4 linked regions of the Arabidopsis thaliana genome follow. The protein of the gene in region 4 binds, or shares a complex with, the protein of the main gene of each other region. Each region holds a gene or a part of one and is shown on either strand. Other genes may lie near its edges.

What was found.
Region 1: AT3G08880 (region 4) and AT3G48210 share a complex: the UniProt entries of both Arabidopsis thaliana proteins name them as parts of the NDC80 complex.
Region 2: AT3G08880 (region 4) and AT3G54630 share a complex: the UniProt entries of both Arabidopsis thaliana proteins name them as parts of the NDC80 complex.
Region 3: AT3G08880 (region 4) and AT1G61000 share a complex: the UniProt entries of both Arabidopsis thaliana proteins name them as parts of the NDC80 complex.

Annotation. Positions count from the first base shown.
Region 1 is NC_003074.8:17,846,088-17,853,684, reverse strand, and holds AT3G48210 (kinetochore protein), read right to left. Parts: upstream 4,335-7,597; 5' UTR 4,251-4,334; coding exon 4,067-4,250; intron 3,899-4,066; coding exon 3,833-3,898; intron 3,687-3,832; coding exon 3,540-3,686; intron 3,373-3,539; coding exon 3,259-3,372; intron 3,166-3,258; coding exon 3,076-3,165; intron 2,968-3,075; coding exon 2,845-2,967; intron 2,727-2,844; coding exon 2,515-2,726; intron 2,301-2,514; coding exon 2,289-2,300; 3' UTR 1,900-2,288; downstream 1-1,899. Other genes in the region: AT3G48220 (F-box protein), read left to right, coding at 128-171, 801-1,401; AT3G48209 (Plant thionin family protein), read right to left, coding at 5,801-6,004; AT3G48208 (Plant thionin family protein), read right to left, coding at 7,252-7,291, 7,404-7,597. UniProt on the Arabidopsis thaliana protein: Acts as a component of the essential kinetochore-associated NDC80 complex, which is required for chromosome segregation and spindle checkpoint activity to ensure proper cell division.
Region 2 is NC_003074.8:20,218,861-20,226,147, forward strand, and holds AT3G54630 (kinetochore protein), read right to left. Parts: upstream 4,169-7,287; 5' UTR 4,042-4,168; coding exon 2,335-4,041; 3' UTR 2,237-2,334; downstream 1-2,236. Other genes in the region: BZIP25 (basic leucine zipper 25), read right to left, coding at 205-391, 858-918, 1,026-1,481; TSA1 (tryptophan synthase alpha chain), read right to left, coding at 4,471-4,605, 4,683-4,742, 4,839-4,916, 5,010-5,087, 5,417-5,602, 5,695-5,760, 5,854-6,000, 6,255-6,443; FBL17 (RNI-like superfamily protein), read right to left, coding at 7,144-7,215. UniProt on the Arabidopsis thaliana protein: Acts as a component of the essential kinetochore-associated NDC80 complex, which is required for chromosome segregation and spindle checkpoint activity to ensure proper cell division.
Region 3 is NC_003070.9:22,468,216-22,477,163, forward strand, and holds AT1G61000 (kinetochore protein), read right to left. Parts: upstream 5,973-8,948; 5' UTR 5,832-5,972; coding exon 5,668-5,831; intron 5,414-5,667; coding exon 5,195-5,413; intron 5,077-5,194; coding exon 4,986-5,076; intron 4,919-4,985; coding exon 4,739-4,918; intron 4,567-4,738; coding exon 4,477-4,566; intron 4,397-4,476; coding exon 4,289-4,396; intron 3,868-4,288; coding exon 3,814-3,867; intron 3,647-3,813; coding exon 3,532-3,646; intron 3,443-3,531; coding exon 3,285-3,442; intron 3,189-3,284; coding exon 3,093-3,188; intron 2,929-3,092; coding exon 2,881-2,928; 3' UTR 2,613-2,880; downstream 1-2,612. Other genes in the region: AT1G60995 (S3 self-incompatibility locus-linked pollen protein), read right to left, coding at 110-171, 506-587, 1,018-1,214, 1,308-1,413, 1,595-1,657, 2,208-2,360; CPSF73-I (cleavage and polyadenylation specificity factor 73-I), read right to left, coding at 6,739-8,382, 8,520-8,669, 8,759-8,804. UniProt on the Arabidopsis thaliana protein: Acts as a component of the essential kinetochore-associated NDC80 complex, which is required for chromosome segregation and spindle checkpoint activity to ensure proper cell division.
Region 4 is NC_003074.8:2,699,425-2,706,525, reverse strand, and holds AT3G08880 (plectin-like protein), read right to left. Parts: upstream 3,554-7,101; 5' UTR 3,358-3,553; coding exon 3,180-3,357; intron 3,080-3,179; coding exon 2,938-3,079; intron 2,847-2,937; coding exon 2,745-2,846; intron 2,657-2,744; coding exon 2,583-2,656; intron 2,471-2,582; coding exon 2,361-2,470; 3' UTR 1,712-2,360; downstream 1-1,711. Other genes in the region: AT3G08870 (Concanavalin A-like lectin protein kinase family protein), read left to right, coding at 3,882-6,026. UniProt on the Arabidopsis thaliana protein: Acts as a component of the essential kinetochore-associated NDC80 complex, which is required for chromosome segregation and spindle checkpoint activity to ensure proper cell division. Required for the maintenance of plant architecture.

The sequences.
Region 1 (7,597 bases), about 15 Mb from region 4:
TTTTTAAACAGAAATTGGGTTAACAAGAAGAGAATTTGCATAATTGAGAATTCAGTCGATAAATTCAAACCTTTCCCAATAGAAAACAAAAATCAGGCCACAACTTAAGAAGAAAAAACTAACCACCATGACTGAGAAACAACATGATCAAGCTTCAATGCGAGAAGAAGCGTGAAGGAGAAGAGCAAACAATGCGCTGAATTAGAGACTTCTAGACTCTTCTACGTACAACTCATTACTCTTCTCTGCACCAATATTCAAAGTAACTTCAAGTTTGAAACACATCATGGCTTATCTCAAAATCCATCTCAATTTCACAGTAAGAGAGCCAAAACAAAAACCTAGAAATCTTCCTCAAAACTCATAACTAATAAAAATTAAAACTAACAAACCAATTCGAATGTAAAAGTATAATTTTCTTCTCCAAGTTTTGCTTAGGTGTCAGGTTTGGAGAGACATGGATTTTAGTTTAATTGTATTGATTCAACAATATTGTTAATATTACAAAGAAAAAAAAAATCATTAAAATATACATTGATAACTTTAATTGAACAGAGTAAAGTCGTGTACTCAAAACTCAATTGGGATGGAGACAGAGAATAAGAAGAAGAAGGAGATGATTTGATTTTCTTAACAGATGATCTATGGGCAATTATACTTGCGAGATTACCACTAACAATCATCACCACTTCAAAACTAGTTTGCAAGCAATGGAAATCGCTCGTAGAATCTCCGTTTTTCCGCAAACTTTTCAACACCCACCATCAAAACTCTCATTCTTCATGGTCAATCCTCTGCAGAGTCCTACCTGAAGTAGTCGTGGCTCACTACGAATGCGAAACTTGGGGTCTTCCACGATCTCTAAGTTCTTACATCTCTTCTTTCATAACCCACAAATTCAATACTCAATTCCCAAACGTTACACTCGCCGTGGCTTACACTCATGTTGGATTGATTTTGATCAGCTCTGGCAACAAATTACTAACTTACTATGTGGCTAATCCGATCTCAAGACAATGTGTCGAAATCCCTCAGCCTCCTCCAACAGTTGGTTATTTTTTAACCTCTGGGCTTGTCACAAAACTTGAGGATCACGTCGTTTTAGGTTACAAAGTTGTTTTGATGGATACAAGTAACTTGGACGATGTCATAAGTTTACTGATATATTCATCCGAGACAGGGTTATGGAGTTTCAAAACCCTCCAATCTCATCTCACTTTGTCTGGTCTGATAGATTACAACCCTGTTAGCTTGTATGGAAACCTTTACTGGATAGGCTACAACAACGACTATGGAGAGGTTGTTGTGTTCCATGATTTCTACGCGACTGGCACGGAATCTGATCGATGCCAAGTTACACCTTTCCCTGACGGTGGAACGAAACCACCAAATTTAAAATGAGTTTGCACAACATCTCAAGGATATATCATGTACATGAACATCTTCTCCCAAGACAAAGATGATGCACATGTAGAGCATAAGTTACGTGTATGGAGGCTAAAGAGCCGGGAATGGGAAATAGTATCTGAAATATCTCTAGCTTGTAGTGAGACTGGTTTTGATTACATTCCGCTGGCAATAAACCCTTTTGATGCTAATACAATGTACATGTGGTGCAAGATGCATTCATGTTTGGGGTCTACTAATTTGCGTAAAGACAAGTTCGGGCTTCACAACAGCTTGGAATGTTGCAAAGATTATCAAACTCTGAGTTTTGCTGGGGATTGTAACATGTTGGAAGACCTTTATCACTTATACTTTTCCATGTTCGTTCTCCCGCGTTGGCTACACCAAATCCCTTCTTCGCCTTCATGAGCGAGGTGAAGAGTCGTTTCAAGAGGAACAACGAGTTGGAGAATGGTGTTTGATTTGTTTTCTTGTCTAATTTAAGATAGAAAATATGGTTGTGGCTATATTTTTAGTTTTAAAATTGCATAAACTGTACATCTCTAATGCACAATCTATGGCTCAAGTATCCATCATTATCTCTAATGCGCAATCTTAATGAAGCTAGACAAGCATCCATTAGCTAACGAAATCTAGAAATAGAGAAGCGCGAGATTACATCGATTAAAATCTAGTCCCACAAGCTCCATCATCGATTGGTGTATAAGCATAGCATCCACACTAGTAAAGAAATCAACATTGTCAATAAGCGTGATTACAATGACATTCTAATATTTATAGGAATTTCAAACAACAATCTGTTGTTGTCGAAAGTTCCGCAGCATCATCTACGCTTAAGTTTATTCCTTGATGCTTGTGAAAAGGAAAACAGAGCTCCACCTTCATTTCTTACCCTGTAACAAGTTAGAGTTGCTATATAAGTTGTATGTTAAATACTATAGGCTCCATGTGATCAGTTAAGTATTATTAATCAGATAGAACATTATTATGTCCAGTTGTTATGCAAATAGGTTCTGGTATCCTACTTTTGGAAACTATAGTATCTAACAAATATTTTGAATTTGGTTTGGTGTTGTAACATTTAAGAACACAATGAGTATCCAGTACCTTAAAGCGAGAAGAACGGCGAGTGGCAGATGTGGATACAGGAGCTAGGAGTGGTGATTCGCTACCTCTTTTTTGTCGCCGATTCACTTGAACCTTAGATCTTTTGTTTTCTGGAGTTGACATGTTTGTATCAGTGGAAAATGATATAGCTGGAGCTGAAGCAGATATGGCAGACGTTTCCTGTTGCAGTTGTCCTGAATGTGTTGGCAGCTCTGACAAAATCCAATAAAACACAAGTCTTGGTCATATTCAACTTTTATATATATCGAAAATAAGATTTCTCACTTATGGAGATAGAGGTTATAAAAGGATAGGCTTGAGACAATTTACCAGATAAAGTGGATTTCAGAAACTGCTCCCTCATCAGACGAACAAATCTGAAAAGGTCATTGGTTTTATTCAATTCTTGAACCATCTCGTTGATGTAATCCAATTGCAGATCGCTATCCAATACTGATGATCATATAAGTAAACGACTGTAAACAGTTCATATTACTAGGTTTTTTTGTAAACATTATAATGTAGTTGATGCTTGCTTCAAGAAGACATATATATACTCACGTGTGTAGATGTCATTTCCATAGTGAACTGTGAACGAAAATTCGCGGGTCGGCCTTTTTGCATCAATGTTGGTGAATGTGAATTTAACTCCTGTAAGAGAAGTTAAAACAACAAAGCTCTTTTAGGGCTAAGGTTTAGTAATATAGAACTAAGATTGTTACAAACTCAAAATGTCTCTATTACCATGTCCAGCTTCAACGTGAAAACCGAGAGCATGATTATACCAAGAGATTGCTTCATGAATATCTGCTTTGTCTTCGGTGACTTTACCAGCGTTGTCCTTCGATTTTGACAAGGCTTTATTGGAAGAAATATGTTAGCTTGGTCTTCAGTGATTCATGTGATCTCTTATTGAAACAAGCAGAGTACTTTTTATAGATATCTTCACTTTACAAAATCCCAAAGCATGTAGCTGACTCATGAAACTTGTATGTATAATGAACTTCAGAATTATATAACGATACCTTGCAACTGTTGGGAGATAATTCTCACAGAATCATCCTTCTTTGACTTCTGTAGCTGCAAATTTCTTCTAAGTACTTCAATCCTAGATTGTGTTGCAGAAATGGAATCTCTTATCCCCATTTGCCGTGCCTCTTTACGGGTTTTCACTAAACATCAAACATATAACATCCCAAAGACAGTAAGATATCCAAACTCAGCAAAACAATGTATGTAAGCATGAAAATAACACCAAGGAGAATCTTATGATTTAAGAAACTAAGTTCAAAGTTTCAAGCTTTTGAGGTAATAATACCTGCCAACACTTTAACTAGCTCATCCTCTGCTTCTCTCAGATCCGCTTTCAAATTCATTAGTTCCACTGTAAAATCAAAGAAACATTTCACAGAACCGCTCAATTTTACCAGTCTGATGTCGAAATTTTAAAACCCTAATTTCAGAGAGACAGAGCCTAAACCGTAAAAAAGTGTGAAATTTACGATCTGGGTCATACGGAACTGAGTGGTACTATGCGAATTTTGAATTTTACCTTGGCTTTGAGCAGTGGCTTGAGCTCGCTCCACTAAAGAGTTCATCGATCTCCGGAAAGGAGAAGCGATGAAAGAATCGATTTTAAGACGCTGTTCATGAATATCTTTCTCACAGATGAGACCCAGAGACGCCATAGTCTCTTTCGTTGTGTCTCCACCAGCGATGTTGCTAATTTGTTCCATCACCAAAGAGAGAAAGAGAGAGACTGAATCGAAGTTTAGCCCGCCATTTGAATTTTGATTCGAGTTTCGAAAATATGCTTCAAAACGCGAACCATCGTGATGAGAACTTTAAAACGATGGCGTTTTCATATCGTGCTACGTCCAAATTTATTGGGCTCCTTAAAAGGCTATTCTGAGACAGGCCCATTTGTCTGGTTTCTCGTTTACCGAAAGTAGTTCAGTCATCGGCAAACGTTTGATTTAATACGCGTTTGGCATCAATCACTATTTTGATTTATAACATTTTTAATCGCTCTAAATCAAAACCCTTACTTACAATATAGTTACAATAATATTATTTTTATCATACCAATTTTTCGGAAAATAGTAATATTGAATAGTGTGTGAAAGGTTGAAAATTGAACCGTTAGGATTTTAATTAGTTAGCCGAAGGAGCTGACAAAACCGAATACTACGGTTACACTTTAGAGAGTCAAAGACTCTTTTAATGCATTAACTACGTTTTCTGCATTGCATCATTGCATGTCTTCTCTTCCTTCAAGCAACTAGTCTTTTAATTAACACTAAATACATATTGAACATAACAATTCCTTCGTCTAGTTTCAATATGTATTTTCAGTTTTTTCACGTCCCTAGCTCACTTTAGACCTGCAAAGTGTTTTTTTTTTTAAAATAATAAATTAGAGTATTTTCACTATATATCAGTAGAAATGGGTGCGTATGTTTTTGATAATTAATTCAATAAAACCTGTAATGAGTAGATAAGACAATGAGTTTACTGTGTAAGTAAGCAAAAGGGACAAAAATGTGTTTTGTACATTATTTTGTTCTGTGTTTGTACATTAATTTGTTCTGTTTAGAATTTTTATAGATATTGGACCATGCAGAGGGTGTTAACTTGTTATAGCATTAACCATGTGCTAGATATATAGCATCGGAGCTTAAACGAATTATCAGTGTTAGATAGTTTGCTTGATTACTTCAACTTGAAGTAATCTGGCTGGCTTTATAATTAAGCTATTATCTTATAATTAGGCTATTATCTTTAATTTAATTGAAACTAATACTTTTGAGGAAAACTAATCGGATGAAATATTTCGAAAGAACTTTTTACATTGCAACGCACCCGTCCTGAGAATTAATGCGTTGTTGTCGAAGGAGAAAGGGCCATAAAATATGGATGAAGTAAATCGATCGAAGAAAGTCTTTATAAGGATCAAAATAAGGTTCAAATCCAATATGAATGAATGTTGACCCTAATTTTGGCCTCGGAAATCTTTATGATCATAGGAAAAAATCATTGTACACATCAAAATTTCTTATGAAAAGTAAACTGAGTTTTTGTTCATTACTCTTAATTATTGTAATTCTTTCCTTCCACAACAATAACTTATGAAAAGTAAACTGAGGATATGAGGATCTATCCTATGAGGTTTTCCATTCCTACAGCCTCCATCCTGCAATGTCGCGATAAATATAAATTATTAGTCAACACAAATTAAAAGGTATACTTGATCAATATACGTAAATATATACGAGGTTACGAATTATTACGGAGGAGCTGGAAAGCCACATTTTTCGTGAAGACATTTACGGAGACAAGGGGTCTCAGGGACAGTGATGCGGCCACCACATTGGTCGATGCACATTTGCTTGCATGTTGTTCTTATTATAATTGCTTCTCCTCCTCGTATGGATGCCATCACCACCATCATCATTATCATCATGATCATACTACATTTCTTCATCTCCATTTTTTTTTAGTTTCTTTCCTTTAATTTTTTCCCTGTAAGTGTATGTTTACGTATACATGTCTTTTTTGTCATAGGTGTGTGTGTAGTATATATAAAACTAATGTCCAGAAAAGTTAAAATCATTAATTTAAAGTTTGACTAGACTATAATTAAAAATATTAAAATTTTCTTTATTACTTTTGCAAGTTTGTTTTTGTCAACATTTTTCTTTATTACTTATAATGGTTCTAATTAGATTTCTTTTGATATATATAATTACTTTCAAGTTTCATATAATATTTATATTGAAGGTTAGAAAGAAGAAAAAAAGTCAGTTGCCAGAGTACACATATATAAATGTACATGCATGAGATTATGCTAGAAGAGAAACAAATCTAACTGGACAATTGAAGTTCAATAGCGTAGCCTGGCGGCAAACAAAATGGAGAAACAGTTGAAGTTTAATTTAGCAAATTTTAGGTAATGATGATTGATGGATGTGGGTTTTAATTGATTACATGCTGATGTGGTGATGTAAAGTGTGTGTGCGCGTCAAAGTGAAAATACCTGAAGAAAATTCGAGTGCACTAGTTTTTAATGGGCCGCCTCGACAATTCGAGGTTTTGGACAACAAACCGATCTAAATCTGGATTTTAGTTCCTATTAGCCGTGATTTTAAACATCACATTTGAATGCATTGTTCAAACATTCAAGCATTTGACCAGTTTGAATGTTCTGTTTAATTTTAAATATCAAATTGGTCAAATGTTTGAATAATACACGCAATTGTATAGTAATTTTTTGTGTGTCATTTGAGATTGTTTGAAATTTTGAAAATAAAACGGATGATATAAATATGACTTATTTAAGAGATGGTGGTTAATTTTTGTACGTCTGAGTGAGTTAGTGGACTATAAGTAAATCTTTCATTTGTGTGATTAAAATGGATTAATGAAGTGAGTTATTTTTTTTTTAAGAGGTCACAAATAGACCCACCACTAATACTGTATCTTTGGATTTTGCACCATTTAGTAACTTGACATTTGATATGGTATATTTTCATCTGATCAATTTAATTTTGTTTATAAACTCAAACTGAAAATCCGCCGAACTGAACTGTGAATTCATGTATTAAAAAAAAATCTGTAGAAACAAACATGCCAAGAACACATCTAAACATCCAAGTGTTTTATGACTTACGAACAAAAACTCTATATCATTTTAATCTTTAAAAGCTATATGTTTTTGGTCTAAAAATCAATAATAATCTATCCTCTAATTCCATGATTTTGTGGAGCCTTCATCCTGCTAGAAATCACAAAAAAATGAAAAACCATGTCAGTTTTAGCATATACATAATTAAATTTTATTATCGATAAGACGATAAACCAAAGGTATAGAAGAAAAAAGAATACTATACTTAGAATGATGAACATTGGTAGGAAGAGCAGGAGGACCGCAATTAAAAAAGACGCATTGGCGGACGCAATTCTTATCCAAAGGCTTATCAACGCACAGTTGCTGACACCGTTTCAAACAATCCGCATGTGACTCTTCACCTATTACTATTATGGTTCCAACCAAGACCATCATCATCACCACCATCAACATTAC
Region 2 (7,287 bases), about 18 Mb from region 4:
GTTTCCTAAGAACAACAGTCACAACATAAAATTGACTGAAACATTCCTCTACTAGATTTCAGTTCTTTCTTTCTCTTTAGAGAGAGTAGAAAGTAGAAACTATTAGGTACAAGCCTTTTCCCAAAAGCATGTCTATATCTATCAGCCTCGAGATTCAGAACGATTACCAGAAACATTCTAAGGTACAAAAATCAAGATTTGTACCTCCTAGCACGCTTCACATCAGTAGGATCTCCATTATCTGCGTCTCCATCAAGATCATCGTCATCAGAATCATCTCGTGATGAAATACTAGTTTGTCTGGCTGGAACATCAGGTTTCTTTTGCGTGCTTGTTGTGGGAGAAAATCTAACAGATGAAGCACCAGGTGAGGTTTGTGCCACAATGGAGCCTAGATAATTTCAAAATAATCCCATTATCCACTAACTGAAAAACATTTCATCCAGGTACATATCACAAGAAGCGGGAAATAAGAAAGCTATCTAGTATAATGCACTAACTTACACTAATAAGAATGGAGAGTCAAAAGGCTAAGAATTCTCATCTAAACGCATAATACTACGTATGCCTTGTTTCTTTCTTCTCAGAGAAAAAATTGACTCGACTAGAACAGAATTAAATATGAATGAACACAGAGAAAGCTGTCATCTCCAAAACAAAGCCTACTTATCTTCAAATTCCCTTAAAGTCTTGAGTTTACTGAGAGAGATTAGCAGTTAATTAATTGTCTAATCAAATTGACAAACAAATCTCGATGAAATGTTTGCTCTCTATGTAATCTAAACATTGACATTGACGAGAGACAAAGCTAGAGAGAGTCAAAAAACCAAAACCAAAACAAAGCAACGATACGTGACCTTGAGCTTGTTTTTGATTGCTAGCTGAAGCACTCGAATCTTCCGGTTTCACAGTTCCCACCTGAAGAAAATCATATCAAATCAACACACAACCAAACATTCCTTATTGTTGAAATCATCAATTCCTTTAATCTGAATACACATAAGAAATGGATCTAAGAGACGTACACGACGAGCAACAGCAGCGCAAGCAAGCTCGAGCTTGCTCTTAAGAATCGCATGATACTGATTAGGATCAACAACAACAGGAGCTGAAGAATCAACCGGATCAGACGACGGAGCACGATTCCGATTCTTCCCTTGATCATCAACAGGGAGCCGTCGATGATTCTGCGGTTTCTGAATCTCAACAACATCTTCGGTTTCGTCAACGGTTTCTTCTAATCTCGAAAGAGACTGAACCGGTGGAGGTGATCTCTCGATTGTGTTAGTCGTAGGGCTCGAATCGGAACCAGACAACTCATTGATAAGCCTGTGGAACGCCCACTCCGATTGACTTCGAGTCATCCCATCCGCCACGTTCTGCGTCGGTGACGGAGTCGATGACGATCCCGGCGACGGCGCCGGAGCGGGAACAGGCCAGAAGGATTCGGTCAAATCATCGACAGAGAAGACGATGTGCATCGCTTACCCAATCGCCTCAAATTCTTCTTCTTCTTTTTTCTCTCTCTCTCTCTCTCTCGCTCTTTCCTTAATTTGTTTTTGTCTTACGTGGAGCCGCCATTATTGATTAGGATACTTGACACGTTTCTGTATTGTATTGGATTAGTACTAACCAACATATCTTTTTTCTGTTAATAATTTAATAAAAATGCAAATTAAGGCATTCAAAGGCATTTTAAATTTCTACTTTAGTTGATGTGTGTCATTTACTTTGTGGGCAAAAGGGTAAGAATAATGTGTTGGCTTTATAGATAAGCAGCTTAGGTTTCCTTTGTCTTTTTTAACTCCTTCCTCTCATTTTCTTGATTTGATAGCTACTCTCTCTTATTCATATCATCAGTAAGATATTCTCACCACATATGATGCATGAGTAAGCAAGCTTTAAACAAGTAAAGGAGGAACTCAGTGAGACTGAAGAAAGTGGTAACCCAAAGAGGTTACAACCGAGGAGCTGCAAACATAGCCTGACTTCAAGAGACCCGAGGGGATAAACCGAATAAGAATCAAAGTCACCTAAGTCAGCTTATGGTAAAAAGAAGGTAAGAGTGTATTCATTGGAAATCCTATGTAACTTGATCATAACAGCGTTCTTTGAGTTAAACATTGTGAATATTAGATTATGTGCCTATCATCTAAGTTTCAATGAAAAAAGAAACACAGATATTTATATACTACTAGCATAGCTGAGCAATTTCAATTATCCATCCTGAAAACTCATACATACCACACATAGATGCTAATACGACTATGTGAACAAAAGCAATAGGAATTACTCACGCTTTTAACAATCTCTTGGCTCAGTTGATTCCAACCACTAGATACCAAGGTTCTTCTTGAAGTTGGCTTTGTATATCTCTGAAACAGCACTGGCAGTATCAGCAACACCGGTTTTGATCTCCGATATCTTCGAATCCATGTACTCTTTCTGTTTCGATATCGAATCGATAAGTGCAAAGAGTTGTGCAGCACATGCTTGGACCTCCTCTTCACTCTCCTTCACTGCTTCTTGCAATCTAAGCTCCGAAGCTTTTACAAACTCAGCAGCTTCTTTCTCCACAACCTCCAGATTCAAAGCCTCAGCTTTCACACTCTCAACCAATGTTTTCGCCTCCAAATCACATTTTGTACTCAACTCCTGAGTTTCCTTCTTCACCAACTTCATCTTTTCTTCGAGGTCATTGATCTGCAACTGAATTGACCCAAGAAGACTCCTTTTGGATTCGATCTTCGAAGCCATTTCAGACTTATGGTGCTGTAAAGTGACCAATTCCTCCACTTTCTCCGCCGAGCTTCCTTTGATCCCATCGCACAACGAACACAGAGCTGGCTTCACCACCGATTTATAATCCACACCCATCACCGCTGCAGGTGTTTCCCCTCTCTCGTTAACAGCGAACTGAATATCAAGCTTCAATCTCCTGAGAGCTTGGTTGCAGTCAATGGCAAGTGTCTGAATCTGATGAAACTGATTCCTAATCTGTGAATTGAGTTCCCAAGCTTTCTGATCCCAACCATCTCTAGCAACCTCAGCATCCGCAACATCTCTTTCCACAGCTTGTAACTCTCTTCTCATCCTATTTACATCCGCCGCGCTAAAGTTCTGAAGCTCCACACTCTTCTTCAACTCCTTATTCTCTACAGAGATTCGCTCTCTCTCTTCTTCCTTAGCTTTGAGCTCCTTAGCTTTCTCCTCCACAACTTTCTCCATCGCTGGATTCCTATCAGTATACTCCACAACAATAGTTCGGAACTTGTTTACGTCATTCTCCAAATCGGCTTTAACTTTCTCCAGAGACTCTTTCTTCGAAGGACCTTTCCTCAGTGACTCAAGTTTAGCCTCCAATTCACCGGAGATTTTCTCACAACCAGAGATAGTTTCAGCGACGCTAGTCTTCTCCGCTTCCAATTTACCCAAAAATTGAGAATCTAAATCGTTAACCTTATCATCCTCGCCGCGAATGAAGTGACCAAAGCTTTGAATCGCGAAGAAATTCATGGAGTTATCTTCGGGTACGGAGGTGGAATTAGATACTAGATGTTGATGGAAACGAGCAAGCTCAGCTAACCAGTGAACAACGGCGAGAACAGTAGGCCAATTGTGAGGCGTATTTGGAGCTTTGAGGCTAGATTTGGTGATCTTAAAAGGACATTTCTGCGATTTGAGAAAGAAGACGAGATCCTCGTCCCATTTGATGGAATCGCAAGGGTAATCTAAAGCTGAGAGCAAGAATTTTAGGGTTTCGGAGATGTCTTTGACAGAAGGAACAGGATTACCGCGGATAGAGATCGGGAAGTTATGTGTGGAGAGGAAGGCGTTAATGAATCGAATCATCGAAGATCTGTCATCGGAGGCTCCTCGGCCGCCTAAACCGATTGATGAAGGACGGCTGCTGGCGAAACTGGCGTCGGAGTCTCTTGAGTTAAAGAGGTGACGTTGTTGCTCGATTGATGGTGGAGGTGGCGGCGGCGCTCCGCCGAAACCCACCGTCGTTCTTCTCTTTCCCGCGGCTCCGCCTCTCATCTCTTTTTTGCTTTTTACAGATAAAGCAACTGACACTGGAACTGGATCGGGAAATATATTTCTATAGAGCAGCGGGATGGATTACTTTTGTAATTTGAATTTTCGAAAACCTAAAAAAACCTCTTCGAATTTCTTTGTTTTTTTATTTCTCATTCATTTCAAAAGAAATTATATATAGGGTTGTTTTGTTCTGGTTTAATCGAACCATAATATCAAACCGGGTCGCAAATTTATCGAACCAAATTGGAAAACAATTTGAGTCATAACGTTTTTATTATTCTGTGTAAACCGAGCAACTGGTTGTGTGGCTTGAGTCACAGTAACTTATTAATCATACTTGAAATGTATCAAAAGATTGAGACATCATTGTCACACACCGATAATAATCAAAAACACAATCTAAAGATGTTGTCTGCAAATGTTTGTGTTTCAAAGAAGAGCAGATTTAAGAGACTTGGTTAGTTTCTCAAGCTCCTTAAGTCCTTCAGTTGGCGACTTTGCATCACCCAATAGCTTTACCATTGCACTGCCTACGATCACTCCATCAGCTCCCCATCCAGCTATCTGTTGACACAACAAAACTAGTCAGCAAAGAAGTAACTATGAAGACAACATAAGAGAAGCTTTGTAAGGTTTAGGACCTGTTTCACATGCTCCGGCTTTGATATTCCAAAACCGACTGCCACCGGCTTGTCTGTCGCCTGCATTGAATTACAAATGACTAAACAACTTGAGCATTTCTACATCATTTCAAGATATTTGAGAAACAATCTTTAAAAAAAAAACTGTTATTAGACCTCTTTGATATCCTTCAAGAGCGACTGAACCTTTCCGCTTACAGATGATCGTGCACCAGTCACTCCAATTGAGCTCACCTGTTAAACCCAAAAAAAGGGCCAATACATTCTCAAATTAAGTAAACACATGTGACATCTGCAAAGAGAAATATACACTGAGAGGGATCTTACAAGGTAAATAAATCCTTCTGACGCATCAACAATTAGCTTCATTCGCTCTGTTGGTGTGGTTGGTGTAGTGAGTAGGACCTTGATTACAAACATTGAGCAAAATTATGTTTACTAAAAGGCAAAGATACTGAAAGCCGAATGTCAAAATAGATCGAGGCAGATCCAGCAAAACACATGTATAGTACTGTAGTCTCAGTGTCTACACTAAACAATGCTTCTACTGTTTCTATTGATAAGGCTGGCAAATAAATCTCCACAGAGACAAATGATACGTAGGTTCAGCTAAGAAAAACCAAATTCGAGGAGACGAAGAAAATAAATAAGATACACAAATGAATCTATACTGCACTGGCATGACTGAGAATCATGCTACCAAGATATATGCGTCCTTCAGATTATATGCTTACCAGCTCAATGTCGTTGTTGAGGGCTTCTTTTCTCAGCATCTCAGTTTCCTCAAGAGGAACATCGGGAACCACAAGTCCCTGTACACCAACAGCTCTGATGCTGGACATGAACTTCCCCAACCCACGTTTAAGAATCGGGTTGTAATACGTGAACAACGAAATCGGACAAGATATTTGTGGAACAACCTGCACCAAGTCCAACAATAAGAACACACATATAGGAACGATATCTGACAGGGGACACAAACACACATCTTTCCTTCAGAAACTAAACTCACCTTATCCAACATCTCAAGGATGCTATCGAGGTTTGTTCCCCTCTCCAACGACCTTGTTGCCGCAGCCTAGTTGAATAGATAACAAAGAGCAAGATGATCAAACAAAAAAAAGGCAAGGGAAGCATATATAAAGGTTGCATTTTGATAGTTGGTTTAAACCTGAATAACAGGTCCATCAGCTAAAGGGTCAGAGTAAGGAACACCCAATTCGATTATGTCAGAACCACAAGCATCAAGAACTTTCAATGCTTCAGCAGTAGTAGAGAGATCCGGATCACCAGCTGTGATATATGGTATGAATGCTACCTTCACACATAAAAGTTAAACAAATTGCAAATGAACTGTAAATTACAAAATCCAATCGTATCAGTAAGACCAAGATTGCAAACCTAATCAAACTCAATGCTAACTCAATCTGATAAGAAGAATTCATAAGCAATAACAACACATGGTTTTGTGATTCTTTCAAATCCAAATTTCCCACCAGAACTAACGATAAGTTTTAAAAGTCCAATTCTTGAGGAACGGATTGGAATATGAAAGACGGAGAATTAACGTACTTTGCCTTGTTTTTTGAGCTGTGTGAAAGTATCAGCGAGACCGAGAGTAGGAGAAGAGGTGGAGAGAGAAGCCATGGGAGTGAATCTCTTGAAAGAAAGCGATGAATCAGGAGGAGAAGAATGGCGGAATCCAATTTGAGATTTTGGGGATTGGAGGAAGAAGACGCCGGATTTGAAAGCAATCGCCATTTGAAAAACTTTGTGGAATTTTGGAAATGAGTTTGGTTGAAGAAGAGCGAGTGTTTATTTTTATATATAAAAACTGAGTAACAGCGATTCCACGTTTGAGATATATGAAAAAAATGAGGTAGGTGAAATCTACCAGCCAAGAGTATTCAGGCGCCGTCACTTACATCTTCGAGCTATTTTGACTTCTGACTTGCTCTTCCATCTTTGTTTTGTAAAAATCAAACACCCATATTTTTGTTTTTCCATTTTGTAAGATATTTGATTTCATTATTAAAATTTGACTAAAGATTATTCTTTGATAAAGATTAGTATATTTGAACTTTCTAAACTATTTGAATAAAAAAAGATGAACAAGATTAGAGTTTGGTGGAGAAGATTAGAGTTGTATATTGTATATGATTTGCGAGAAAGAGAGACCAAATAAATTTGACCAATTATTCTTATGTGAAACAAGTAACAAATCATAAACAAAAGTCTGAAATCAAAGAAAATACCCCTAGTACTCTAGTAGTATATAATTTAAACAAATACAGAATGTTATCATACAATTTATTCGAAGCAATTGGAGAACAATGATAAACATGTAAAGTTGATAAGTGAAACAACAGAAGAGAACGTGATCCAACATAATCTGATGTACACAGTACAGTAAATATAAATATGGTAGACGAAAATTGTGACGAGTCCAATAAAAGGATTATTAATGTATAATGGTACACATTTCTTTCTCCAACTTCCTTCTCTTCCCTGCATAAATACCATCTTCCCTTGTCTGCAAAATATGAAAAAACTTTCAGATACATATCTTTCTTGCTTTCTTAATTCTCTCTCAAAAAACTAAAAC
Region 3 (8,948 bases), on a different chromosome or scaffold from region 4:
GAACCAGAAGTTCAACCGAAGAATTCCTCATTTCACATCTTTCTTTGATAAGATGCTCCAGCATTTTCCACTAGTGAGCTTTACATTCTTGAGAGAGAATAACGTTTACCTTTTCCATGGTATATAGATATGTTGGCTCAAACTCTTGAGTTTTACTCTCAAGCCACTGAACTGAAAAAACATAACAAACCAATTAAACCATAGCAGTTCATATAGACATCTTCCCATCCAAAGCACAAAAAACCAAACCTATGTGATTTTACTCTTCTAGTAGCTAAACCTCTCACATGTAAAATCGTAAAAAGGCTATTAAGAAGGTGCCGTTTGACAGAAATTTTATATGGTAGTTTGCGTAGCTCAAAACAAGGAATGATTTTCAAAAAGGAAATGTATGTAATCAATTCATTTACATGGTGTAAACGCTAATCTTGATAGGTTCATTCAGATGATGAAGAACAAAACTAAAGTAAATATAAAATCGAGATTCTATGGAGGTGGCTTTTACCTGCATAGTAGTTGACTTTATCCATATACAGTACATGCAACAATTTGGGCACATCAAGATTTAGCGGTATGCCAATGATGTTCTGCATTTAAATTTGAAGAGCAAAATAATTTGTTTTAGTAACAATATAAATAATCAGGATTGCAACCCATCAGATGACCTAAGTACTGTGGCACCAATAACAGATATCACAAGAGCTAAATTAGTAGCTAGACCTAAGTCCATTTTCCTCAAAAAATCAAGGGGAAATCTTCACACCCTGATGATTGAGCCACGTGCCAGTTAAATTTTTAGTAACATATATTTCCGATCAAAGGAACGCCGCTTAAGAACCCTGCTTTATAAGTGATATACCAAAAACATCCAACAGAAACCTCCCAGAGAAAATACAACATATATATATATATATATATATTACATGACAGCCATACGCACTATCTAAGTCAGAATCTGAGAAACAAAAAGGAAATGAAACAAAGAGGCGTTGTTACACATTCTAAGAGATAACTCACCCATATTTTTCTAACACCTCTGAGGATCCGTGCTGTATGCTGTAAAACGAAAGATATGCGCCTGTAACACTTTTTAAGAAAGCGAAGAATAGCTGCTCTGACATTCTCTTTTGCAGACACTGAGAAACTACTGCGGGGCTCTTCCTTATCAATTTTCACAAATGTATCATCGGTATTTTCTTCACTGGTAGAGCTTTCTGCATGATTGCAAAAGAGGCAGTGTCAGTACCTGCAAACGTCAAAGATATTGAGCTCCTACAAACAGTCTATCCAAACCAATAAAAAAACACCTTGATCAGTCTTTGACACTTCTAAACTATCAGTTGCAGCAACAACTCGAGGAACATCTGCAGCAGTACTTTCATCATTACGTGACCACAACCCTGCACTTGTTATCTATATCACAGAAAATCAGTTGGTTAGAGAACTAAGGATGAATAGAAATTTTATTTGTGGCTAACTGATTTCAAGAAAGAGTTTTCCAAAGTACGAGTGAGGAACCAGTTCAAAGCCTAGAAAATCTAAAATTTTTCACTAATTATGCATGCTAGCATCAGAAGCGATAATAGCTACATACCTTGATTTGCATAAGCTCTGCTTCAGCTAACTCAACTCCAGTCAGCTCACTTGAACAACCAGGCTTTAATAATAATCAAAAAAATTAACGAAATTAGTTAGAGAGAAACAATAATGGTCAGATAAGAGAAGCTTAGGAGAGTCTAGCAAAGATAAATCTTAGGAAGGCATGCACACTACACGAAACTCTTAAAGTAGAAGAGAGCTAAGCCAACAGATATTTGATTTTTGAAGTTTGCAATCTTAGAAGTATTCAAATGCATTTGCATAGGCCGTAATTCCTATTGGAAAGTGTACTAATGTTTACATAAACATAAACACAAAGAAATCAGAAAAGTATCTTCCGTCGGATTTATATAATTATGACCAGTGCAACCTTAGTAAAGATACAAACAGTAGTCTCCTAACCACGCTCATGCGAACATGTTCTACAGAATTAGCTTAAGCTCCACAATTCATATCAGATTACTCCTAACACAGAAAAATGCTACATCATCCTTTTCAAATTGTAGTATCTCAGACTTAAAATTTCAACAATGAAGTCATTAACAAAGGCAATTTGCACTAAAAACGACCTATAAATTAAAGGATTCAATACGAGAGTCAAAAATTACCTGCTGAACATAATTGGCGTGCATAACAACGAGGATACAGAACAAAGTGATGGCAACGAAGAGGTAAGTATACTCTAAGAAACCTCTAATCCTTGGCGTTAAGATCTGCGAAAACCTCTCCTGAACCCTAATAAACGTCTGCTCCGGATCCATATTTCGGATCTCCGATGCACTTTTTCGTCTTCTTCGTTAACACTACGTAGTCATCGAATTTGAATTGCTCCGTTGCGAGGATCGTAGATTTCTTCTCGTTCTGGGAGATTGTCGAATCCACAGAAATTGAAGAGTGAAGATGATTGAAAAGAAAAGCACCGCGAAGCAAATTTTACACTTTGTTTGCTGTTAAATTGTTTTTATTTTTCTTCAAAAATCCCTAGTGAGAGTGGCGCAATTGGGAAAGCGATAGGATTCTTTTGCTTCCAGGACAAGAGTTCGATTCCTTCAACACAACCATAAAGCTCTCATTTTCTCTTCATTTTTTTTCTGTTAACATTCTTTTATAAACTACTTCAATACATGCCATTTCCATGAAGAGAAATTCATAACATTTTCCAACTTTAATACAATCACAAGAGGAATTTAGTAGTCAAATTCTTAACCATTTGCAGAGAAAATGTGCTCATTACAATCTCTCGTCTACCTTAATTTAGATGAATCAGACCTTCCTTGTCCTTTAGAGGCTTGGTAGAAACGCATCAAACGACACCGTGTATTCATGAAACTGCAAATATCAAAAGCAAGGCTCACTAATATGTCTTACAGAGAATCTGGAAGAACCCTAGTAGCTTTTTAACTTTGGAAACCTCTTTAACTTGATGCACCACAAAGCTTTTGTTTCCATGGTTCAATATATTAGCAGATAAAAATAATGGAAACGAAATAAACCTGCTTCACGATCTCTTCATATTTAGCGGCTAGTTTTTTAACTTTAGCTTCTCCTGACTGTCTCACCTGGTTAGTCTTCGCAGTATTGTCATCAACCTGTTGATATATAAACAAATAAAACTTACGGAGATGATAAAGCATCGTGCACAACAGATTCACGTTGTTAGATGTTCGATAGAAAGGAAGCAATACCATAGCTACTACTGATTCAACATTCGTTTGCCTGGTTTCAAGTTCACGTCTTCTGGATTCAACCTCCACTTTTAATTCATTCAACTGTTTCGTCCAATCATCAAACATGACTGCTTTTTCTTTCTCTAGTTGTTTCAATGATTCGTTCAACTGTTCCACTGTTGACAGAAGAGATGATTACAGTCTCCGTCCCAAAACAAAATTCAGAAACAATATCTGAAGAAGGAAGAAATAAACCAACACTTGCCTATTCTTTCCCGCTCAACCACTTTCGCCTCAAGTGATTTGTATGCTACCCCATCCTCACTCAGCTTATCTTTAAGAGCTTTGAATTCTTTCTCAACCGTTTTCGCATTGGTTACCTGTAACATCATCAAATATACATAAAAATGAAAGATAAATCTAAAGACACATTAGATCTCATTCCAATAATTGGAAGGATCTGTGTGTTGCCACATGCTAGAGATACAATACATGGTTCACAATCTATAAGCAATGAAAGAGGAAAGGAGTTTTTTTGCTTGGTCACCTGTTCGTTTATTAACTGCAGTTGCGAAGATGACTTTAAAATTTTCTTCAAGGCCTGCAAAAGGCAACCATAGTTGAATAAACTTTATTACCTCAATATTAAAGCAAAACTTATTCGACTCAAAAATAAAGCATAAAACTGTTGCAAGACAAAACATAAGAAAATTTTGAAGTAACAACACAGAATAAGGTCTCAATCTAATATTTTCCATCTTGGGATCATTCTCATCCACTATACAACAAAATAAAAGAAGTTCTTCCTAAAGCTTCTGGACAGAATTTCATGAAGTATGAACAAAAGTGATAGAGCAATAAACACACCAAACTTAGAAGAATAATGACTTGAAATATCCTTCTCTAAAAACTGGTTTGAGAGCAGTATCCGCAGTGACCATTAAGTTGCAAATGTCGTAAATGCATTTAGCTACTTGCTAAGCGACAGGATTTAGTAACAATCTAGAGTTTTCATTAGATACCTTTTCAAAAACCTCAAGAATGGCAGCCTTTTCCTGGAAAGTTACCATTGCTGATTGTTCAGCTTTCTTTGTTTCCCCAAGTACTAGTTTCTTCTCTTCTAAAGCTCCCTGTCTCCACAACAAACGTTTATACTAGTGTATACCAAAAGTTTATCTTAGGACTAGTACTAGTTGGAATAAAAATATACCTGCAATTTGTCCGGTGATTGAACAATTTGTGAGCGGAGGTTTGCATTTTCTTGGACAGTTTCCACAAGATCAAACTCTGCTTTGGAAATCTGTAGAGAGAAATACACATGTCAGGAGCAGAAAACGCCTCTCAAGTTCAAGCATATGCAAATCACCTAATTGACAAACAAAATTTGTTTCTTCACCAACTTCATAATAAATTACAAATAACCCAATTTAGTTTGAGGAAGGAGCTCGACACCATATCCTGCGGTTACGTACCTCGTTATCCATCTGTGTACTCTTCTCTCTCATTTTCTGGAAGGTAGCTCGCAGTGACATCTGCTGATTATTTAGTTCCAATATTTTTTTATTCAGTTGTTCAATGTTCGCTTCTAGCTCTTGGACAAAAGGTAAGTCCCTCTCAACGGCTTCATCAAATTCTCCAATCTCTGCATTCAACTGCATGTACAGCTTTTAGAAAAAGATAAATGACTTATCTATGGGATACATATTTTTCTTGCATTACCTGAGCAACCTTTGCCTCACACTGCTTTCGCTGCTCATCAAGGAGACCCAACTCTTCTGCCTTTGGTCTTATAAGATCCATTTTCGAGTCTCTGGTACGAAAAAAAGATTAAAGAAGATCAAGTGGGACAAATAAGAACTCTCTATTTTAACTTCTTGGTGCATCGAAATAGATACTACAGAGAAGAACTAAGAGCATGAAGGACATACTTGTATAGACCATAGTTCAAAAGTGCGCTGATGAAAAACTCGGTTCGGGATGATTCAGGGCGTAAGAGATCCTTGAAACTAATTGGTAATGGACAATCAAGCATTTCTAACATATCTTTCACTTTGCAATAAAGCTTCATAGCTTGCATTGAAGTGGCATGATGATCTGGATTCTCCAATTGCTCCAAAGCCTCAAAATCAACTTGCCCTTTCTCTTCTCTACAATGTCGAAAAACGCAATTCAAAAAAGAAGCATCATCAGAAATTCCCCCAAATTGAAACAAAAAATAGGGTTTTCAAAATTACTTAGCAGTTCATACAATCAAAAATAGAAAATCCCAAAGATTCAATATTTAACATAATTTCTGACAGAATTCGATGACCTAGCTCGAAACTAGACGAAGAGTTTCAAAATCGAGGGTAAAATTGAGTGAAGAGCTAAGAGAGGAACTAGGGTTTTGAGGAGTACATACTCGTCGAGGGCGTCGAGATAGATAAGAATTCTGGTGTAAAGCTCGGAGACAAAGTCGGAAGTTGGGGTTTTGAGATCGGTCTCTGTAACGCTAGCGATTTGAGCATCCTTGAGCGCCGTGATAATGTCGGAACGAGAGAGCCTCGGGTACTCGTAGGCTGACATAGTTTTCAGTTTTGGTCAGGTTCGGATTTGTTGTGTCTGGATTCGAAGAAACTGAAAATGACAATTTGGAAAGAAATGAAAAAAAAAAAAGAGAGCCTTTGATTTTAGTTGGGTCAGGTTCGATTTGTTTTTTGCATTTGCTTTTCCCGCCTATATGAAACTGCAGTCTCTGCAGATATTGATGCATATTTGGATACGGTAGAACGTAGAAGCTTTTATAAATAAAATTAAAAAAGAAACTTTAATCTACAAAAAAAAAAATTAAGCATTTTAATATTGTAGAGATTTGGTCTTAATATCTTGATGCACTAGACATCTTGCCAAAACATAGAGGTCAAGAGACATTCACTGATGTGAATAATGTATACTTTGTACGTGGAAAAATAATAGAAAATGTGCTCATTACAATCTCTCTTCTACCTTACTTTAGCTCAATCAGACCTGCCTTGTACTTTAGAGGCTTGGTAGAAACGCATCAAACGACACCGTGTATTCATGAAACTGCAAATATCAAAAGCAAGGCTCACTAATATGTCTTACAAAGAATCTGGAAGAAGCCTAGTACTTTTTTAACTTTAGAAACCTCTTAACTTGATGCACCACAAAGCTTTTGCTTCCATATCCTAGATCAGCATAATGATAGAAAAATGCATATGGGAAAAGCACGAATCAGCAAAATGATTTATGAAAAAACCTAAAAAAGTTAAAAACTCATAGTTGATAACATCCATAAGACTTGATCATTATCACAGTAGGGTAGTAGCAAAGTTTCTCAATAAACACCTTCTTAAATAACATCCATTAGACTTGATCATTCACTATTACTAAACATGGGAACAGAAACATCATCAGATGGATAAAACTCTATGATGATTTAAGATACCTCAACGATGACTTTAAAAAGCTACTAAGAAGCTGAGAGAGGGATTGGTTTCACAGCGCTCTGAATCCGCTCAAAAGCTACTCTCACTCTTTCCTTAAGACCTGAATGCTCACTCTCTACCTCTCCACTCTCTTTATCCAGCTGAGCGACATTGCCATCGACCCTAATCACCAGTTTCCCGTTTTCTCCTAGTTTCACATCCCCGAAAAGCGAAACAAGAAGTGCGTATATCACTTTCTCAACTTTCTTCCCGTTCTCTTCCTCGGATTTCACAGCATCTTCTTCTTCCATAACGATCTTGGGGACTTCTCGGCTGATGTTGAGAATCAGAGCTACAATGGAGTCTGAAACCATGTCACTTATTGGATCTGATGACCACTGAAGTGAGATGTGCTTCTCTGACTCTTGTTTCACCGTTACTCTTTCATGAACTTTCAGTGCTGGAAGCCCCGATTCCTCATCTGTTGAAAATTCCACGCTCTCGAAAATCTTCTCCAGGCGATGTTTTATCACACCAAAAGCTCCTACAAACGGGATTGTAATTCGCTGAGTTACAGTTGCTGTTGATAGCTGTGAGAAAACATGGAGTTCGTCAGGTGCCATTATCTGATAAGTGAACCCTTTCTTCACCAGAATCCCGCTTACTGTATCGCCAACATCAGGTGTCTTTTCCGCCAATCTCCCAATGGTTTTCGCCAATTTCTCAGAATTAAAATACATTTCCACTGACTCACAGTTCTTCGGGGTCATGATCTTTGTGTTTCCATCAGGAAACTCTGTTAAGAGCTTCTGTTTGAGCCTCATCATCTCGTTAGCTTCACCGTGAACAAGGATGATGTTAGGAGGCATGAGCTCTTTCAAGAACGTGCTCGTCTGCGCGTAATCTGCATGAGCAGAGAACGATATATAGTGCACTTGCATGTTGAGCGGAGCAGTAAGACCATTCATAAGAGTCACCTCCTTTGGTTCATTAATTATCGTCTTGGCCAGTGTACCTTCCACCATATAACCTGGTATGATACAAGCATTCTTCTTATCTGAACACCAGCTGTCAAAGAGTTGCCTTGAGAGACCGCTTTGAAGACCTCCAGGAGTAGCCATTACCACAGATGGACCGACATCATTAAAATCATCGATGCTGTTTAATGGAGAAATGTGCTTGAACACAAACGGATTAGAATTTGCAAACTGGTTGCGGATTCTGTCGTTCATAGATAATATGTAGGTTTGGTAAACCGCCATACACTTTTTGGCGAGTGGTGATGCATAGTAGATTGGGATATTGTGTAGATCTGGGTGGTTCGCCCAGTATTCATCAAGAATCAAGAGAAGTTCCTGAGCACGGCCCAGTGCAAAAGCCGGGATCAGCACACGTCCACCCTGAGCAACCGTTGAATGGATTACATCAGTGAAGCGTTTCTCACGAATATGACGAGATTGATGAAGCTGGACACCAGAAGTGGATTCAATGATGCATATGTCAGGGGAGAATTGAGGAAGCTCAGCTGCTCTCAGATGTCGGTCTTCCTCACGGGAATAGTCGCCTGTATAGAGGATTCGGACACCAGCTATATCCACCATAAACATGGCTGCACCCAAAACATGGCCTGCCGTGTAACACCAGAACTTTATGCCATTCACTTCAACTGTTTGATGGAAGTCAATTACCTATAGAGGAAATCAAATATAAACCTTAACTCAACAATCACAGTTTTGAAGCAGATTTAATTTCTTTTGAACTTATCCCAAACCTAGTGGAGCAGTCAAAGTATAAACATAGTCATAGAATATAATGCAGTACTAACCTCAATTTTGTCCATAGACTTGTTGATGTCTTGTTCATCGAACAACATATCTTCCACAGACACTTTGCTCACTTTTACATAATCTGTAAGCAACAGCTTGTAGATGGCCTTTGTTGCATGTGTCATGAAAACCCGCCCATTGAATGTCGTCTGATCAAAACATCAATAACCTGAATTAGTTCTCAGCTATGTTTTAACACATCCCAAAAAACAAAATCATTTTGAAAAGAGAAACAAACCTTCTCCAGAAAATAAGGTAGAGATGCTGCATGATCTATATGAAAGCTGCAACCAAAAGCATCAACACATTATATGTTATCTTAACCCAATAAACCTCTTACACAAAACACAAACTCTTTCAAGTAGACAAACAGAGACAGAACAAACTCTAGCCTCCTACAAGCTTGAACTAATTAATCCAAGAAGGTC
Region 4 (7,101 bases):
TTGTATTAAAGTGTATATAGGGCCAATAGAAGAGAATCAGACAAAGTTTATTACTGACAGTGAAAATAGGATAAGCTTTTATCTGACGTGGACGGAATCTCCTCGTTGACGCCATCCCATTGGATGGCCATGAGGCTACCACACGCCCGTAAATGTGGTTCTATCTAGACCCCAACACGTGGGTCTAATCCAACGGCCACTACACTCGATTCCCTCCTATATTACAAAACCCTTTCTTCTTCATCAGTTCATCATCCACATCGCATGCTGATCAAAGACATAGCTTCAAGGGAATTTCTTCATTTACCACTAAACCCATCATGGCACCACTTCTCCTGCTGGTTCACTGAGATTCCCACAACAGAGGAAACTGGCAAGGAGATCACTGGTGGTGGCAGCAGAAACAGCTGGCTCGATGAGCGGAGTCATATTCGAGCCGTTCGAGGAGGTAAAGAGAGCTTATCTAGCCCTACCAATCACCGCTCTTGTCTCCGTCGCTCACCAAAGATACGCACAAGCTTGTGAGGCAGCTGTTAACGAGCAAATCAAGTAAGCATCATCCAACTTATTAGCTATCAAGACAAAATAAAAAACAACACTTCTACATACAAGTTATCATAGTTAGCAAAGAAAAAGATAGTTGAAGTTAGTAAGATTTTTGTATTTTGTAACTAAAAAATACTCATGTTTCACTAATTCGATGGCACTAAGTCACACCATTGGTATTTTGTTAATGTTACCTCCAAATATTGCCACCTACCTAATTCACCTTCTATTTTGTAACAGGTTGGTTGTGCAGTGGTTGAGACAATGTCTCGTACGTGTACCATGCCATGTATGCGTATTTCGACAGAGAAGACATAACTCTTAAGGGTTTAGCCAAGTATTTATCGTTAAAATTTCATAATCATTCTAAGAAACAGAAAGTTATATATCTTCTCACTAATCCTAATTGCCTTTATAATTGCAGATATGTCAAAGAATCAAGCAACGACGAAAGAGAGCACACAGAGAAGTTCATGGAGTATCAGGTTTCATAATCTTGTTTCACAGTTTCCACAATGATTTTTGTTTCTCACTGTTCCTTCCCTCTTAATCAATAGATATCTAATTTTCCAATGTGGTCCCTAAAGAAGAACTAAGAACCCAAATCTATCTAAAGCCAATAAGCCATTAGTGAAACCAGAAGTTGCAGAAGGTACCCGTTTTGTTAAGAGTCCATTAAGGTGCTAGAATCGTATGTGGTCTTTGCTTCCTCAGAGATTCGAAGATGTGAAGATCATATCTGAAACTGAGATACACGTACGAGATCACTATTAAAGCCAATATTATAGAGACAAGTCACAGATACTATCTGATGACATGTACTTCGATTCTTACCTAAAATGTAATGACATGTTACTTTGTTTCTACAAGATTGACAATTCCTAAGCACAGAAGCTATGAAAAGTTCATGATCTTTTCGTAAAGATTCTCTTTCTTTGTGACTGATCTATTATAGAAGGTTCATAAACTACAAACTACTAAGCCTCATGTACCAGTGAAGATCCGACATGAAATTCCTGTAAAGACTTCATAAATACCATCTGTTGATCATTTCTCTAAATACTTCCGGAAAAACAGTTACCAAACTTGCATGAAATTTGAAAAGGGGAACTGACCATCTTCGTGAGGCAGGCGGTGACAATATTCATCAATAATCCAAAGACTCTGGCTATGAGGATTTGTATCTCTGTGAGACTGTGACTGTTTTCAAGAGACAGGGACAACAAAATTATAACTTCATAGTGTGTACTGTGTACACTCTCGCTAAATTGGATCGAGTTCTCTGGCCTGTAAAATCTACCCCAATATAAGACAGAAAAATGGCAAACCCTAACAAGTTCAATGGTTCAGTGGAGACACTAAGCAGGTTCCACAGTTCAGAAGAGAAGCTAGGTAATAATCCCAAAGTTTGCTAGGCCACCAAGATTTGGATTCAAAATCATTAAATCCTTATGAAAGGCGTTTAAGAATATAATGAAAGCATAGAAACTAAAAAACTGCACTTCTGTTCCTTTAGAATTTGTACAACCTAAATCTGAACTTGTGCATCAATCTGCACAGCAAAAAACGATCAGGAAAACGGCAGGAGCAGCTGCAACATGAACACGGAAACTTGCAGGGGGAAAAATCTTAGATTGATGATGATGTTACAGGAGAAGAAAATTCAAAATCATATAACAAAAATCCAAAGTTAAGTAAAGTAGAAAGTGTTTACATCAACGGAACTGATGGTAGATAAAGAGGTTTTTGGTTGCTAAGCTAAAACCAAGACTGCTCACACATATATCATACAAATGAAGTGGTGCCAAGTATGTTTATTGTTTGTTTATGATGCTCCAGATACTGTTACATGTCTCGTATGCCGTCATCTTATTTGTCTCGAATTGAAACTTCTCAATTAGCCTCTTTTCACGATCTACCATATCTAATATGATTTTCAAAATCAAGGATTCAAAACACCTAAGGATAAAAAGTGAACAATATATATGATTAAGAAAACGTTGATAGAATAGAGTGATGATGAAAGAACAGGATACAGCCTGAGATCTTTGATGGATCATCAATGTCCGGTATAACGTTCGTGACAGAAGCATACATTGATAGCTTTTTCCTGTAGATAAAAAGAGGGAACAATGAGAAAACAAATGTAACGAGCATTCATAACAAGCAACTGCAGTAGTGAGGTTTGTGGATCTTACTCAGCTCTCAAGTCGTCCCTCACTTTTCTCTTTGTAGATTGCTTATGTTCATCTATCGATGACAATTGAGCATTCAGGTCCTTGAGTTCATCAGCGACTAGTGTATTGACAATTAAAAAACCAAAAGATTAATTTTTTCATGTCACTGAATCAACAACTAGGATATTTTCACTCAAAAACAAACAATACTTATCTAAGCTCGTCTTTTAGCTTGAACTCCCGTTCCATCTCTTCGTCAAGCTCTTTCTGAAGACGTTCAATTTCATCTTCAGCCGCAATATCTGAATATGCTTCCTCAGTTTTCTTCTTACAAGCATAGAGTTTCGTCTTACAATCTGCGTCCAAACCAAAAAAATTCCTCGCTCAATCCAGCTAAAGCCACATTATTTATCTAGTAAATTATCTAGAGAACCAAATCGGAAAAACAAAACTGACCTTCAATAGAGCCTTGTATCTGATTGAAATCCTCATGGCAAGCAAAATTGAGAGCTTTGAACTGCTCAGAACTTTGAGATATAATATCAAAACCATTCTTAACATTCAATAAGTTGATCAAATCGTCTCCATAAGACATGAGATCTTCAATATCGAAATTCTCCGACGCATTTCCCATTTCTGCTGCGGAAAATTGAAAAATCAACTATCTAGCAGCAAAAGCCCTAGCTCCACACCTCAAAACCCTCACCAGAAAAATCGTAGATTTCTGATACCACCAAGTAAGTACGTGATATTCTGGAATCTGGAGAGAGGAGGGAGATATGAAGAGGAAAGATCTGAATTTTGATTTTTGATTTTTTTATTCCAAAAGTAAGTTTAATTTGACATAATTAACTGCTAAAAATATATGGACGCTAATATGGGCCAAGCCCATTAGTTTTCACTTTCCATAATGGGCTAACAAAATTTATGACCAATAAGACTCATGTTTAGGCTAAATCATAGCGGTCTTCATCATTTTGTCCACTATTTTGTTTTCTTTTGGTCGAAGATATTGTCAAGTATTAATTATGCAATTACGTGAAATCATGAGAGTCATCTCCTCCACACATATAGCCCAAAAAGACCTTGACTTTGAACATTTCGACTCTTTCGTCGTTGATAGCATAAGAACATGTCCATATTTGAAACTTAAACTCAATGCTCTCTCTTACTAGTTACTTCATACAATCAAAGTCAAAAAGCTCAAGATACCACTACTCAATGGGCATAGCAAGATCCATAAACTCGTTCATGTTCTTCTTCTTTCTAATGATATTATCAAACGCTTCTAAAAGCTCTGTTCTTGCTGAGGCCACGACAGCGAAATTCACATTCATAGGTTTCAAAGAAAACCAAACGGATATTCAAACAGAAGGAGCTTCCACAATCCAACACGACAATGATCTTCTTAGACTAACTAATCGGAAACAAAACGTCACTGGAACAGCGTTTTACCGCAAACCAATCAGATTGCGTGAGTTAACCAATTCCTCCGATATCAAAGTTTGTTCCTTTAGCACTTCTTTCGTCTTCGTCATACTCCCTTCAAGTCCCGGCAACGGTGGTTTTGGTTTCACGTTCACACTTTCTCCGACCCCGAATCGTCCAGGAGCCGAATCTGCACAGTATTTGGGTCTGTTGAACAGAACCAACAACGGTAATCCATCGAATCACGTATTCGCAGTGGAATTCGACACGGTACAAGGATTTAAAGACGGCGCAGACAGAAGAGGAAACCACATCGGTCTTAATTTCAACAACCTCTCCTCCAATGTACAAGAACCACTCATTTACTACGACACAGAGGATCGAAAGGAAGATTTTCAGCTCGAGAGCGGCGAACCAATCCGAGTTCTTATCGATTACGACGGATCCAGCGAAACCTTAAACGTTACAATCTATCCGACGAGATTAGAGTTTAAACCCAAGAAGCCTCTAATCTCGCGACGAGTTTCAGAGCTGTCGGAGATTGTGAAGGATGAAATGTACGTCGGATTCACCGCCGCGACTGGAAAAGACCAGTCGAGTGCTCACTATGTAATGGGTTGGAGTTTTTCAAGCTGCGGAGAAAATCCAATGGCGGATTGGCTCGAGATCTCGCGGCTTCCTCCTCCACCTCGCTTGAGTAACAAGAAAGGTTACAATTCTCAAGTCATTGTTTTGATTGTTGCTTTATCGATCGTCACACTGGTCTTGCTTGTGTTACTATTTATATTTGTGATGTACAAAAGGCGAATCCAAGAAGAAGATACTCTAGAGGATTGGGAGATTGATTATCCTCATAGGTTTAGATACAGAGATCTCTACTTAGCAACGAAGAAATTCAAAGAGAGTGAGATTATCGGTACTGGAGGATTTGGAATCGTTTACAGAGGAAATCTATCTTCTTCGGGTCCAATCGCAGTGAAGAAGATAACCTCAAATAGCTTACAAGGTGTTCGAGAATTTATGGCAGAGATCGAGAGTTTAGGAAGATTAGGTCATAAGAACCTCGTGAATCTTCAAGGATGGTGCAAACACAAGAACGAGCTCTTGTTAATTTACGATTATATACCCAACGGAAGTCTCGACTCGTTGCTGTACCAAACGCCGAGAAGAAACGGCATCGTGTTGCCGTGGGACGTGCGTTTCGAGATCATAAAGGGAATCGCGTCGGGACTGTTGTACCTTCATGAGGAATGGGAACAGATCGTGGTTCATAGAGACGTGAAACCGAGCAATGTTCTTATTGATGAAGATATGAACGCTAAATTAGGCGATTTTGGACTCGCGAGGCTTTATGAACGCGGAACGTTAACGCAGACCACGAAAATCGTTGGCACTTTAGGGTACATGGCGCCTGAGCTCACACGTAACGGTAAAGGCTCAACCGCGTCTGACGTTTTCGCGTTTGGCGTTTTGTTGTTAGAAATAGTGTGTGGGAATAAACCAACGAATGCAGAGAACTTCTTCTTAGCTGATTGGGTAATGGAATTTCATACTAATGGTGGAATCCTTTGCGTCGTGGATCAGAATCTCGGGTCTAGTTTCAATGGCAGAGAGGCTAAACTAGCTCTTGTTGTGGGGTTACTATGTTGCCATCAGAAACCAAAATTTAGGCCATCGATGAGAATGGTGCTTAGATATTTGAATGGTGAAGAGAATGTTCCACAGATTGATGAAAATTGGGGATTCTCGGATTCTTCGAGAGACGATCATAAATCGAATGTTGTAGGTTATGTTTCGTCTGATAGAGCCTCGAGCTCGAATACTTTTTCGTCTTTCTCCAATGTTTCTTCAAGCTCTATCGTTAGTGGTAGATAGTTTCATAGCACTTTTAGCATAGCTTATTTATTTTCTAGAAACAGAACATTTTGTATGTTTTTACTATTTATGCTAAGAAGGAACTAAATGTATGACGTGTGTGTCGATTATGTCTTATTATGGACCAGTGAACCCATTACCCATATTACTAAGTGAATGATAGATACAACTTGTACAATACAAGGGTTCATTGTTTCCAGCTTTATTAGGTACAATATTATTTTTGCATTACTAAAAACAGACTTTTCTTTTGTCTAAACATTTTTTTGTAAATTATAACATAAAATGCAAATAGCAAACAAAATATATTTTCTTATTCCAATGCAAACAAAATATCTTTCTTATTCCGTTTTAGTTTGCTTTTGTTATCAACTCAAGACTTTGATCGGTGACTTAAAACAAATGTTAAAAAGACGATCCAATCCCTCATATATGATTGAAAACTTTGATACAAAATGAGATTGACAGAAGATAAGACTAACAGGTCCGTTCTAGATTCTTTCCAAACGTAACAGCATGATTGGATCATTTTAAGCAATTTCAAGTGGAGAAAATAGAAAAATATTGTGTGTTGCCCAATTATTTCAATCAACAATTCAAAATTATTATGATATGGGCTTGGTAGGTTGATGGTTTCACTTTCATAACACAACGACAAGTGAACTACGAACCTATGCCTCAGTTTGTGTCCAGGTTCATGATGGACATGCCTATAATTAGAAACGTGTATTGAAAGAAAGCGTCTAAACTTTGCAATTGGCTACAGAAGTTTTAAAACAATGATTGCGTTGTGAACATTACTGAATTTTCATAACAACTCAAACCATTTTTTACAAATATTACGACACAGTTGTTTTGTTACTGTGATATCTGTTGTTTCTATGCTTTAAAATTTAAATAAACAACTGTGATTCGTTGTATAGAACCGTGTATCAGACTATCACTATCCTACAAGTTAATTAATTACGCCAAAAACAAGTTAATTACGCCAATCAAACTAAAGAAAACTATAATAATAGCGTGACTCTATGGTTTGGTACTTTGGTTAATGTGCTGCTTACTTGCTCATCTTATC